3 linked regions of the Canis lupus familiaris genome follow. The main gene of each other region encodes a partner of the protein of the gene in region 2 in a complex. Links are inferred from orthologs where the notes say so. Each region holds a gene or a part of one and is shown on either strand. Other genes may lie near its edges.

Region 1 (3,657 bases), on a different chromosome or scaffold from region 2:
GAAACGAATACCTTTGTGGGCCACGTATGTTTCTTACCAAATAAAAAAATTATCTTTACTTTTCTGTGAATAAGTAAATTTTGTGTGTGGGAGGGAAATTGAACTCTGCAGTTATAAAAAGGGACCTCTGATAAGAATAAGAACTGGATTTATTGTGTCTGTTGTCATAATTTCCAATAACTACAGAGTGCTTTTTACAGTTTTTCCAAGATTTTTGCTAACATTATTTTATGTATTCGCTTCAGTTAAATTATGGGAACATGTGCTTCTAAGTGCAAACTTTCTGTAGCTTTCACTTTTAATTAAGAGAAATAGTGAAAAGAGAAGTAACTATAAGGTAATGAGACTGATTTAAAAATTTTTATTTTTATTTTATTATTTTTTTTTTTATTTAAAAATTTTTAAACATATTGATTTTAACACATGACTGTATGTTGGATCTTTCCAAGTAGTTTTTTTTTGGAAAAGTTAGGTCCTTTAACAGTGATTAGAATTATGGAAGTCCTTTCAAAAATGTTGTTTTCAGAAATTACTTAATAGCCTTTTGATTATATTTAGGGATATCAAATAGGTATCCTTTGAGGATGTTTAGTTTTAGGAATTAGCCAAAGTCTTTGCAGGCAAGTTTGATAAATGGAGCAGGTGATCAGATACCATTTTTGGTCTTGCCTTATTTTTGACTATGGATAATGGGACTTTTTTTTTCTTTTAAGATTTTATTTATTTGAAAGAGAGCACAAGCAGAGGGTGCAACAGAGGGAGAGCAGGCTCCCCACTGAACAGAGAGCCTGACTTGGGGCTCAGTCCAGGATCATGGCCTGAGCCAAAAGCAGATGCTTAACCAACTGCCGCCCAAGTGCCCCATAGATGATGGGACTTGTTTTTATCAGACCCTAAAGGCAGTTGTACAGATGGCGTATAAACTGCTTAATGTCAGCTGCACTTTGGAATAGGTATAATCTCCTAGTGAGGAGGCTTTGAAGAAGCTAGCTTTCGTTCAGATTCATACATTTGGTACATTGTTACATAACCAATATCCTTGCATATCCTACCTGTATACAGGTAGTAGAGTATGTTATGTCTAATAATTCACTTTTCTACATGTCCTTACTTGTCTATTTTTAAGTTAATGAAGTGGCTAATTTCATGGGAGGAACCCTTAAGTATTTTTTCTGTAATAATTTCATAATTTCATAGTTGTGAGTTTTCGACCCTTACAAATGAAAAATAGTGGGAGGGGCAGCCCCAGTGGCACAGCGGTTTAGCGCCGCCTGCAACCCGGAGCGAGATCCTGAAGACCAGGGATCGAGTCCTGCGTCGGGCTCCTGTGTGGAGCCTGCTTCTCCCTCCTCCTGTGTCTCTCTGCCTCTCTCTCTCTCTCTCTCTCTCTCTCTCTCTCTATGTCTATCATAAATAAATAAATCTTTAAAAAGAAAAAAGAAAAAGATGAAAAATAGTGGGAAAAGGGGGAGGGTGGTGGAAAATGTTTTAAACTTCCATTTTGTACATTTTACTTTGTACTTTATTTTAAAATCTGCCTTGCTTATCAGGAAGTCCTACAAACAAGCTCTCTACTGCCTCCCAGGCCTCCCAAGGAACAGGTTCCCCTATTCCTAAAATTCATGGAAGTAGTTTTGTAACATCTACTGTCAAGGTAACACTCTTACTGCATTATTGCACTTTTCTAGTTTATAAAGACAATAAGTTTAAGGTCAGCAAGAATTTGTTGGTCGATAATGCAAATTTCATTAAGTAGAATCTTCAAACTAATAAGTATCTTGAAGATCATTTATTCCAGACTCTCCTACCTTCCTCTTGGTCTTTTCCTAGTGTGAAAAATGTTCCTCAACACTTTTATTAGTTGGACGGTCAGTATGTATTTGAAAACTTACTCTGATGAGGAGGCAGCTATTTTTAGGAGTGGTCAGCTTTGTTACAGATTTTTCCTTATAAAAATATTCATCTGGCAGTATGCTATTTTTCTTCTTATGTTTGTCCAGTAAAGAGTAATTGTGTATTTTTTCTATACGTCAGCCATGTAGTTACCTGAAAATAATTTTTATCATTTCACAATTTATCTTTTTTTTTTCCCCTCAGGGTAAAGAAGCCTTTAAAATTAGAACTTCAAATATGATCTGACTTGTTCAGCTAATAGATACCTAGATACCTAGAGTGCTGGGTATCTGCTCACTGTTTGGTTCAAGTATATACTGAAACACTCGAACCTGTTTATTTATTTAGTGATTAGGCTCTAGGGATAGAAAAGAAAGAAAATACAGTGCCAGGCCTTAAGTGTCTTACCATCAGGCAGGGGACTAGACATGTAAATCAATGAGTCAACCAAATATTAGAGGCATATCATAGGAGACTTCCCAGCATACACTGGGGCACAGGTGAATAGGTTCTTGCCAGTTTATAGCCTTTTCTTGCATTTGGTTTCTGAAACAATATTAAAATGCTAGTGTGGGGGCTGAAGACCCCAAAGAGTTTTGAGCTTTTGATTTTCTTTTATTTTTTGGTTATGTTGCTAGAGAATGTCACAGGTTTATATTAAATATAAGGGACTGGAATATCTGAAATCACTTATTTTATCCTAATTGTATAATATGTATTTTTACATACACAGCAGGAGGATTCTTTGTTTGCATCTATGCCACCTCTTTGTCCAATTGGGAGTCACCCTAAGGTTCAAAGTCCCAAACCTGTAACTGGAGGACTTGGAGCTTTCACAAAAGTGAGTATTTATTAGGACATTATCCCATAAGTCAATATGGTTTTGTTATATAATTATTTTGTGGCATGTTGGGAGTTGGCTACCCTACAACATGTAAATTTTTAATTCTAAGACCACATCCTACTTCTGTGACATGTTTCCATATATTTAGTGGTGTCCACAGGGCAGCCCTTGGTATCTAGCAAGATCTCCTGAGAGCACAAGCTGTGTGTGCCACCAAAATCTAGAACAAATGGACTAGGATGAGTTGCAGAAACACAGGATCAAATCCAGATCCTCCTTTTCATCCCTCTGATAACTTTCATGGACTGTATTTAAGCAGTATTTTTACCTTCTAGTGGAGTCATTTTTTTTATAGACCAAGCTTCATTAATTCATTAATTTCTGCAAGCAGAATAGATTGAAATATTAGTGGCTTTATTCATAGGATGATTATTCAGTGTTATTATGTTTGTTGCCAGGTAATCATCAAGCAGGAACCTGGTGAAGCCTCTCATGTGCCTGCAACAGGAGCTGCTAGCCAGTCACCACTCCCTCAGTATGTGACTGTGAAAGGGGGTCACATGATAGCTGTGTCCCCTCAAAAACAGGTCCTAACTGCTGGAGAAGGGACTTCCCAGTCACCAAAGATTCAGCCCTCCAAGGTTTGTGTTCGGTAGGGTTGGGGAGATCAATATGTAAATGAACATTAGGTGCCTTAAATAATAGGTAGGTGCTGACAAAATTCAGATGACAGGGTTGCTCCCCCTAGAAAATCCTGTAGATGGAAGTCCTGTTGGAAAAGCAAGTTAGTGTTAAACCCGTCTGCTCTTGCAGTAATCATTGACAAGAACAGGGGCACATCTTACAGAGAGAGCTCAGGAGTAGTCAAGAGGCAAAGGGATACTTATTATCTCTCTGGCAGTGAAGGTGATAGATTTCAT
Region 2 (2,403 bases):
CACAGTTCCCCCAGGCATAGATTTAAGTAAGGGACTCTCAGGTAGACAACTGCACTCTTTTCTCTGCTTCTCTTACATTGTGCGCCCAGTGGGACTGCTATGAGTGCATTAAATGAGTTTCATGGAGTGACACTCATGTTCCGATGCATGGTCTAACCATGGCACCATCAAGGACTACTGCCTGACTGAGCAGTACCATCGGGTCCTGGGGCTTATGGTCTGGCTGAGGGCCGAGTCCCACACACAGGATGAACACTTCTGCACCCACCTGCTGAGCCCTCAGTAAGCACTGACCCTGCACCAGACCTTCTATGAGACACAACCTGGGAGTATCGCCCCTGCTGATGAAGGGAAAGGTGGCAGTGCTGCTGGTGAGGACGGCAGGATGAACAGGGGGCGGTCGAGCCTGTGAGTGGGGTGGGGAATGGGGTGAGGTACAGATAACTGAGACTCTCAACACAACACAAGGGAGTACATGCTAACTGCTGTATGGAGAGAGAAGAAAGCAATTTCTAGAAAATGGTTCTAGGTTCTTGACGGCACTGGGAAGTGCTGAGCAAGTTTCGTTAATAATTGGAAAAATGATATTTTATCTTCTCCTTCCTCTATTTAAAAAGAATCTTGCCCACATAATACACAATCCTCCATGCCAAATGGTTTCTAAATTAAAGTTAATTAAAGAAATAAATTCCTTACATGTTTTTCGATATTAGTATATAAATTTTCTTCAACAGTCATACAGATATATCAAAGGATGAATTATAATTCAATATTAAAATCAAGTCTCAAAGGCTTACACAGCTTATACAATGACAGTAAAGTCAATAATAATCAGCAGTAATAGAATATGTAGTCCTGGTTGATACAGTTTTGCTAAGATGTTTAAAAATACCAAAACTTTTGCAATAGCATAGGTGGTATCATGCTCAGTGAAAGAAGTCAGACAAGATACTGTATGATCTCACTTATATGTGGAATCTAAAAAACAAACAATGAAAGGCTGAACAGACAGATACAGAGAACAGACTGGTGCGGTTGCCAGAGGCAGGGCTGGGGGGTGGGTGAACTGGCTGAACGGGGGTCAAAAGGTACAGATTTCTAGTTTATAAAAGCAGTCAATCCTGGGGAGGTCACGTACAGCATGCAGACTGCAGCTCACAATACTGTACTGTATATTTGAAAGTTGCTAAGAGAGTAGATCTTAAGAGTTCTCATCCCAAGAAAAAAAATGTTTGTAACTAAGTTTGTAACTGTGTCTGTAACCATGTGTGGTGATGGATGGTAACTAGACTCACCTTGGTGATCACTTTGCAACATAGTCAAATATCAAATCATTACACTGTACAGCTGAAATGAGCATGTTTTGTAGGTCAGTTATACCTCAGTAAGAAAAGACCTCTAGAGATCACAGTTCCACTTCTACTTCTTATAGCCATGGCAGTAGTGTTTCTAAAAGCAGAAACAGTTACCAATATGGGTCATACAAGTGCTTTGGGGTCTCACTTTTGATACTTTCTCATTTTTACTATACATGTTTACAAACTGGTTTCTTTGAAACCTGGGCCTGAACAGTGATCTTATTTTAAAGGGGCAAAGCTTTTTTTTGGTGTGTGTGTTAACAGCCTCAGGAGGGAAGGTGACTGGTGTTTTCTCACTGGGTTTCCGAGCCCGCCCATTCGGTCGGGCTGTGCTGGGAAGGCTCAGCTGGCGTCATCCCTCCATCCTTCCTCCAAGTCTTCCAGGGGAGCCCAGAGGTAAGCTGGTAGCACAGATGCCGTACCTGAATCAGATGATAAATCATGAAAGTTGCAATCCCTGCTCTTCTCCATTCAGGATGGACAAACAGAAATGAAATGTAAGCTTCATTGTACTTCACATCAGGTACCATGAAGCCAAAGGCAATGATGACTTTTTTATAAAGGACAACAACACTGAAGTCTGGATACTGTAGGCACTCAGACAGGTCAATGCCTAAGGAAAAGAGATATTTGGAGAGTCAAACTGTGTGCCTTCTGGAATTAAGGAACATCAAGCTGTTCAGTCTGTACTTACAACTACACCTGCATGCTAAAAACTAAACCAAAACAAAAAACCAAAAACAAAACTGAAAACGAAGATATATGCATAGACATACGTCAGATCATAAAAATAAAAATGAATTTTAGAAAATATCAAAACAAACACCATTTTTTCTAAGTCCACATTTTAAGAGAAGAGAGGCAGGGTACGGTGAGTAGCACAGAGCGCACAGGTCTAGAACTGGACATACCTGGCTGTGAACCTAGCCTCCTCTACAACATGTGTCAGCCAGCACTTTTCTAAACGTGGGCCTCAGTGTCTGCACATCTAGACTTCCAAGGGTGGGAGCAAAGACCCCGAGAGCCCATACTGTCCTGTTCTTCA
Region 3 (4,256 bases), on a different chromosome or scaffold from region 2:
AGAGGCAAAGAAAATATACAGCATTGCAAAGAATCATGAGTTTAAATTAGAGATGGAGATGAGTGCCTTGAATGAGAAGGCTGCTCAATTTGGGATTATATATTGTGAAATCTTTTTCTGGATGTTTCTAGACATAGGCTGGATTATAAATTGTATATCTTGCTGTGAACAAGGGAACAGACAAGATTTCTCAAGATCCTGTCAAGCCTGGTGATCTTTGGAAATGAAAGCCTAATTAAGAGGCTCCCTAGGGACAGGTCAAAGGCGTTCTTTTATCCCTACTGACCCCATTCCAGTTCTCTGATGCCTATTCTGCTCCTTTTCATTCAGCCTACTCTAAAACTGAAGAATACATATTGTGCAAGTTTCTACCTTTGCTTCCTCTACTGTAAATGCATTAGACTATTAGAATTAAGAATTTTAAATACCTTGTCCCTAATCTCTGAACTGACGGGTTTTGTTTTTTAATAGAGCTTAACATTTAAAATTCTTCTAACCTTTGTTCTTTTCTTCAATTGAACATAAAGCTTTTAAATGTTGGACTATAAAAGTACTTCAAATATCTTTTAATAAATCTATCTGATGAGTAATACGCTGTCAAATTTCAATTCGCATTTATTTTTTCTAATTTCAAAGATTGTGCTGCATGCAATTACTTATTTGAATTAAACTGTTAGAATCGTTTTGAGTGTCTCACTTCTTTGAAAGGTTTAGGTGAGTGTCTCTACAGTATCACTCAGAGAATAGCAACTGATGCACGTTTTAAAACTTGACATAATTATTTTGCAGATTTAAAGTAATTAATGTCCTTTCTTCCATTGATAGTACAGCAGGAACAGTAGAGCATTTTATTGTTCTTTTATAGCCTCTGCTCCCTCACATGAAAAATTAGTCACGTTAATTTGTGTAAGTTTTTAAACTTTGCAGAAGTGAAAATGTTCTAAATACAAGCGTACGTGAAAGAGTTTTCCAGGGTGTAGAGGTGTGGGCCCTGCTGCACCCCCGAACAGCAATCTTTGTCCAGACCACTCCACAGCGCCATGTTAAAAGCTAAAATTTTAACTTCTAAAATTCTGACGTTTAGGTCTAAGTCTCCTCTTCAACACTCATAAGCAACACCTAAAAACACAAGACAGGCTTCAGACGCTAACGTTCCCTAGACCACCGCCCCAATCACCGTCCCAAATTCCGTACGCAGCTCCGCCAGGTCGGCAATTACCCGCTCCGGCTCCTTGGCGTGACGCTCCAGCTGCACCTGATTGGCGCACCGGCTTGTCAGTCACGAGGGTCCTCGAAGGCCCGGGCCGGACGAGACGCTGTGTTTTTACGTCATTTACCGGCGACGCAAGCGGGCGGGCGAGGGGGGCGGGTGTTGTGAGCACAGCTCGGTGGTGGCGGGGGTAGCCTGCGAAGGTGTCATGGCTGCTGCCGTTGAGCTTAGCCTCTCGAGCAGTGGTGACAGGAGTCCGGAACGGAGCTGCAGCCCCAATCTCTCCCAAGAGGTGCTCCGCGAAATCTTTCGCTCACTGCATAGCCTGGTGGGACAAGTGAGTGGTGGTCTGTGGGAGCAGAGCAGGGGGTTGGGAACTCTCCGGCCCCTCCCCCCTTTTTTCCTCTAGCGGAGGCGGGGGGCTGCTTAGGGCTGCCGGGGACCGGGACTGAGTACTGAGGCCGGCGGAGGAGCCTGAGCCTAGCTGCGGTCGGAGCGAGGAAGGCCGTACGGGCTGGCAATTCTCCCCAAGAGTGAGAGGATAGTGTAAGTGAAAAACCTGGCTCCCAGAAGAACATGCTTGGAGAGAGCGAAGGCGTAAAAAGCTTTGTGGGTTTGGAGGGTGCCTGGCGCTCAGCATCCCCTATCCTTCAGTGAATTTGTGATAGAAATTGATAGAAGTAACGGCCTGAGAGTTTTGGCAAAGCTCTCTCCGCTTTTTTTTTGGGGGGGGGGGGGGGTTGATTTGCTTTTAGGAGTCACTTGGTTTTCTTTCTTTTTTTTTTTTTCCTTCTGGTTGTTACATGTGCATCTCTTACCCTTTCATATGGGGAGGAAAAATGAAAGGAATTAATGTAAATACTTCTTGCATAAAATTCGATGAGTTATCCATGATTGATAGAGTTTGCATCAGAACTGTTTGTCATTTAATTATTAGCTAATTTAACTGACTGATGAATAGCTTCTGCAGAAATGTCATAATAAATTGGGTTTAAATAAAAGTACTCCTTACACTATTCAATCAAGTCAACTGTTTCATGAAATAAAATGCAAAGCATATTACAAATGATAAACAACTTGAAAATAAGTTTGTTTGCTTTTAAAAAGGAAATCTTTTGTATCTTAGACGGAATATTTTTTTACTCTAAAAGTTTGTTATGGGGTTGGTATTAGTGCATGTAGTAGGCACAGCAAACATTTATGTCGAGGATAATGTTTATGAAAACAACACCTGTCTAGTTTGTAAAAAGTTATTTTTAAAAGCCGTGAGTGGATGGAGAATTAATTTTTTAAAAGGTTATTTCAGTATTTTTAAAAATCCTAATATGTTTGTCCTTAGAAAAAGCATTACTCTAAGTTAAACATTTAATTTGGTCTAACGGAACAATTATTAACAGAATCTGCTAAAAGTTGTAACTGTTGAGCTCAGTTGTTTGCCGCCAACTTATTAAAATTTTTTAAAGACTTGGGGACATTAACATTTTAGTCTTATCACCCAAGACCTGTAATGGTTAAAAGTCTGAGAACGTTTTCTGTCTTGGATATTGGAATTTTAAGGTTTATTTATATTTTAATGTCACGATGAAAAAAGTTTATGCTTACCTGTAATTTACAGTTTTATTTTCAGTGGTGATAAATTTTTTAAAGTAACATTAAGAAATAATTTAAACATTTCTTTTGAAATATTTTTGCATACTGAATTTTTAAAACTCATTTACAGATTTTAAACATTCGCGTATTTTGTGATTAAAGTTTACTTATGTCACCTGTCAAAAATGTTGAGAGTACATATTTGGAAAGTTTACATGACACATTGAAGGGACCATCTATACAGGTGTCAAAAAATTAAATCATTGTCTCATCAATTAAATACTATTTTGATATTAGTCTTTATATTTTGAGATGTATTGTTTAAAGGGAAGAATGAAAGCCACAATATTATAAAATTGCCCCTGGAGGAAATCACTATGTACTTTTGCAACAAGTTTATAGGATATTTTTTTTAATGTAAGTTTCAAAAAAAAAAAAAGTAAGTTTCAATATGCCTAGTTTCATTCTGCATAGTATCATTATATTGTTGGCTCTCCTCAATAGGAAACATAAAATTGAATGTTAAAAAGTATCCCAGATTTCAAATTTACTTATTTTAACCTTATTGCTTGCCACAGCATGGCTCATTCTACCAAGTTGAAGCATTATTTATTGTTAGCTTGGAGTTTCATACTAATTTTTTATGGAAAATGCTTACTTAAATAGTCCATATTAATGTCACACCAATACATTTTTGAGTGAATGCTTTACGTTTACAAGTTATAAAGGGTAAAAATGCATCGAATTCGTATTACTAATAGGGAATTTGTTGAATAAATAGTTGGATATATTATGATAATTTTAAAGTTAATTTGTATCATTATGTAGTTTTCTTTAAAAAAACCAAGTGTCTTTAATTGTGCTTGAAAGGCTTACATAATTATGCTGAATTGAAAGGAGAATATGATCCCAACATTAAGATTTATTTTATTTGTTTATTTTCTTTAGGAAATTTGATGCTTTACTTTAGTTGAGGATTTGTCTGTGTTATCCCAAAACTCTATTTATAAATTTGTTAGGAACTGTAGATCTCTTAGAGGACTGTAGAAGTACAGTAATTAAATAATATAAACTAAGATTAATGCAGTAATCTTAATGTAAAACTTTAGTTAATATAATCTAATCTCTGCCAGTGTAGCCTATCCAAAATTTCTTATTTCTTTATAGTTGTCTGATACAGACTTTAAATGTTTCTTGTCTCATGGAAAAGGTGGTAAATTTTTGTCATACAGTATTCATTAAGTATACTGCCTTTTTTGGGTAACTTTGGATTTCTGGTTCTTTGTACAGTGATTCATCTTTTTGTTTTATTAGAATCACAACTCATAACATCAGTATTTGAACTAATGTAATACTTGCCTTTATTTTGTGGAAAACATGACTTAATAAATGATTTCTGAAAAAAAAATAAACTTAATTCTACCATGCATCATAGCTTTATAGTATGCTATAAACA

The links.
Region 1: KAT14 (region 2) and YEATS2 share a complex: the UniProt entries of both Homo sapiens proteins name them as parts of the ADA2A-containing complex. The link is inferred for Canis lupus familiaris from reciprocal best matches to the Homo sapiens genes KAT14 and YEATS2.
Region 3: KAT14 (region 2) and MBIP share a complex: the UniProt entries of both Homo sapiens proteins name them as parts of the ADA2A-containing complex. The link is inferred for Canis lupus familiaris from reciprocal best matches to the Homo sapiens genes KAT14 and MBIP.

The regions. Positions count from the first base shown.
Region 1 is NC_049255.1:16,902,465-16,906,121, forward strand, and holds part of YEATS2 (YEATS domain-containing protein 2), read left to right. Parts: intron 1-1,550; coding exon 1,551-1,654; intron 1,655-2,626; coding exon 2,627-2,734; intron 2,735-3,195; coding exon 3,196-3,378; intron 3,379-3,657. UniProt on the Homo sapiens protein: Chromatin reader component of the ATAC complex, a complex with histone acetyltransferase activity on histones H3 and H4. YEATS2 specifically recognizes and binds histone H3 crotonylated at 'Lys-27' (H3K27cr).
Region 2 is NC_049245.1:5,325,809-5,328,211, forward strand, and holds part of KAT14 (cysteine-rich protein 2-binding protein), read right to left. Parts: intron 1,972-2,403; coding exon 1,781-1,971; intron 1-1,780. UniProt on the Homo sapiens protein: Component of the ATAC complex, a complex with histone acetyltransferase activity on histones H3 and H4. May function as a scaffold for the ATAC complex to promote ATAC complex stability. Has also weak histone acetyltransferase activity toward histone H4.
Region 3 is NC_049229.1:15,070,186-15,074,441, reverse strand, and holds the start of MBIP (MAP3K12-binding inhibitory protein 1), read left to right. Parts: upstream 1-1,355; 5' UTR 1,356-1,418; coding exon 1,419-1,547; intron 1,548-4,256. UniProt on the Homo sapiens protein: Inhibits the MAP3K12 activity to induce the activation of the JNK/SAPK pathway. Component of the ATAC complex, a complex with histone acetyltransferase activity on histones H3 and H4.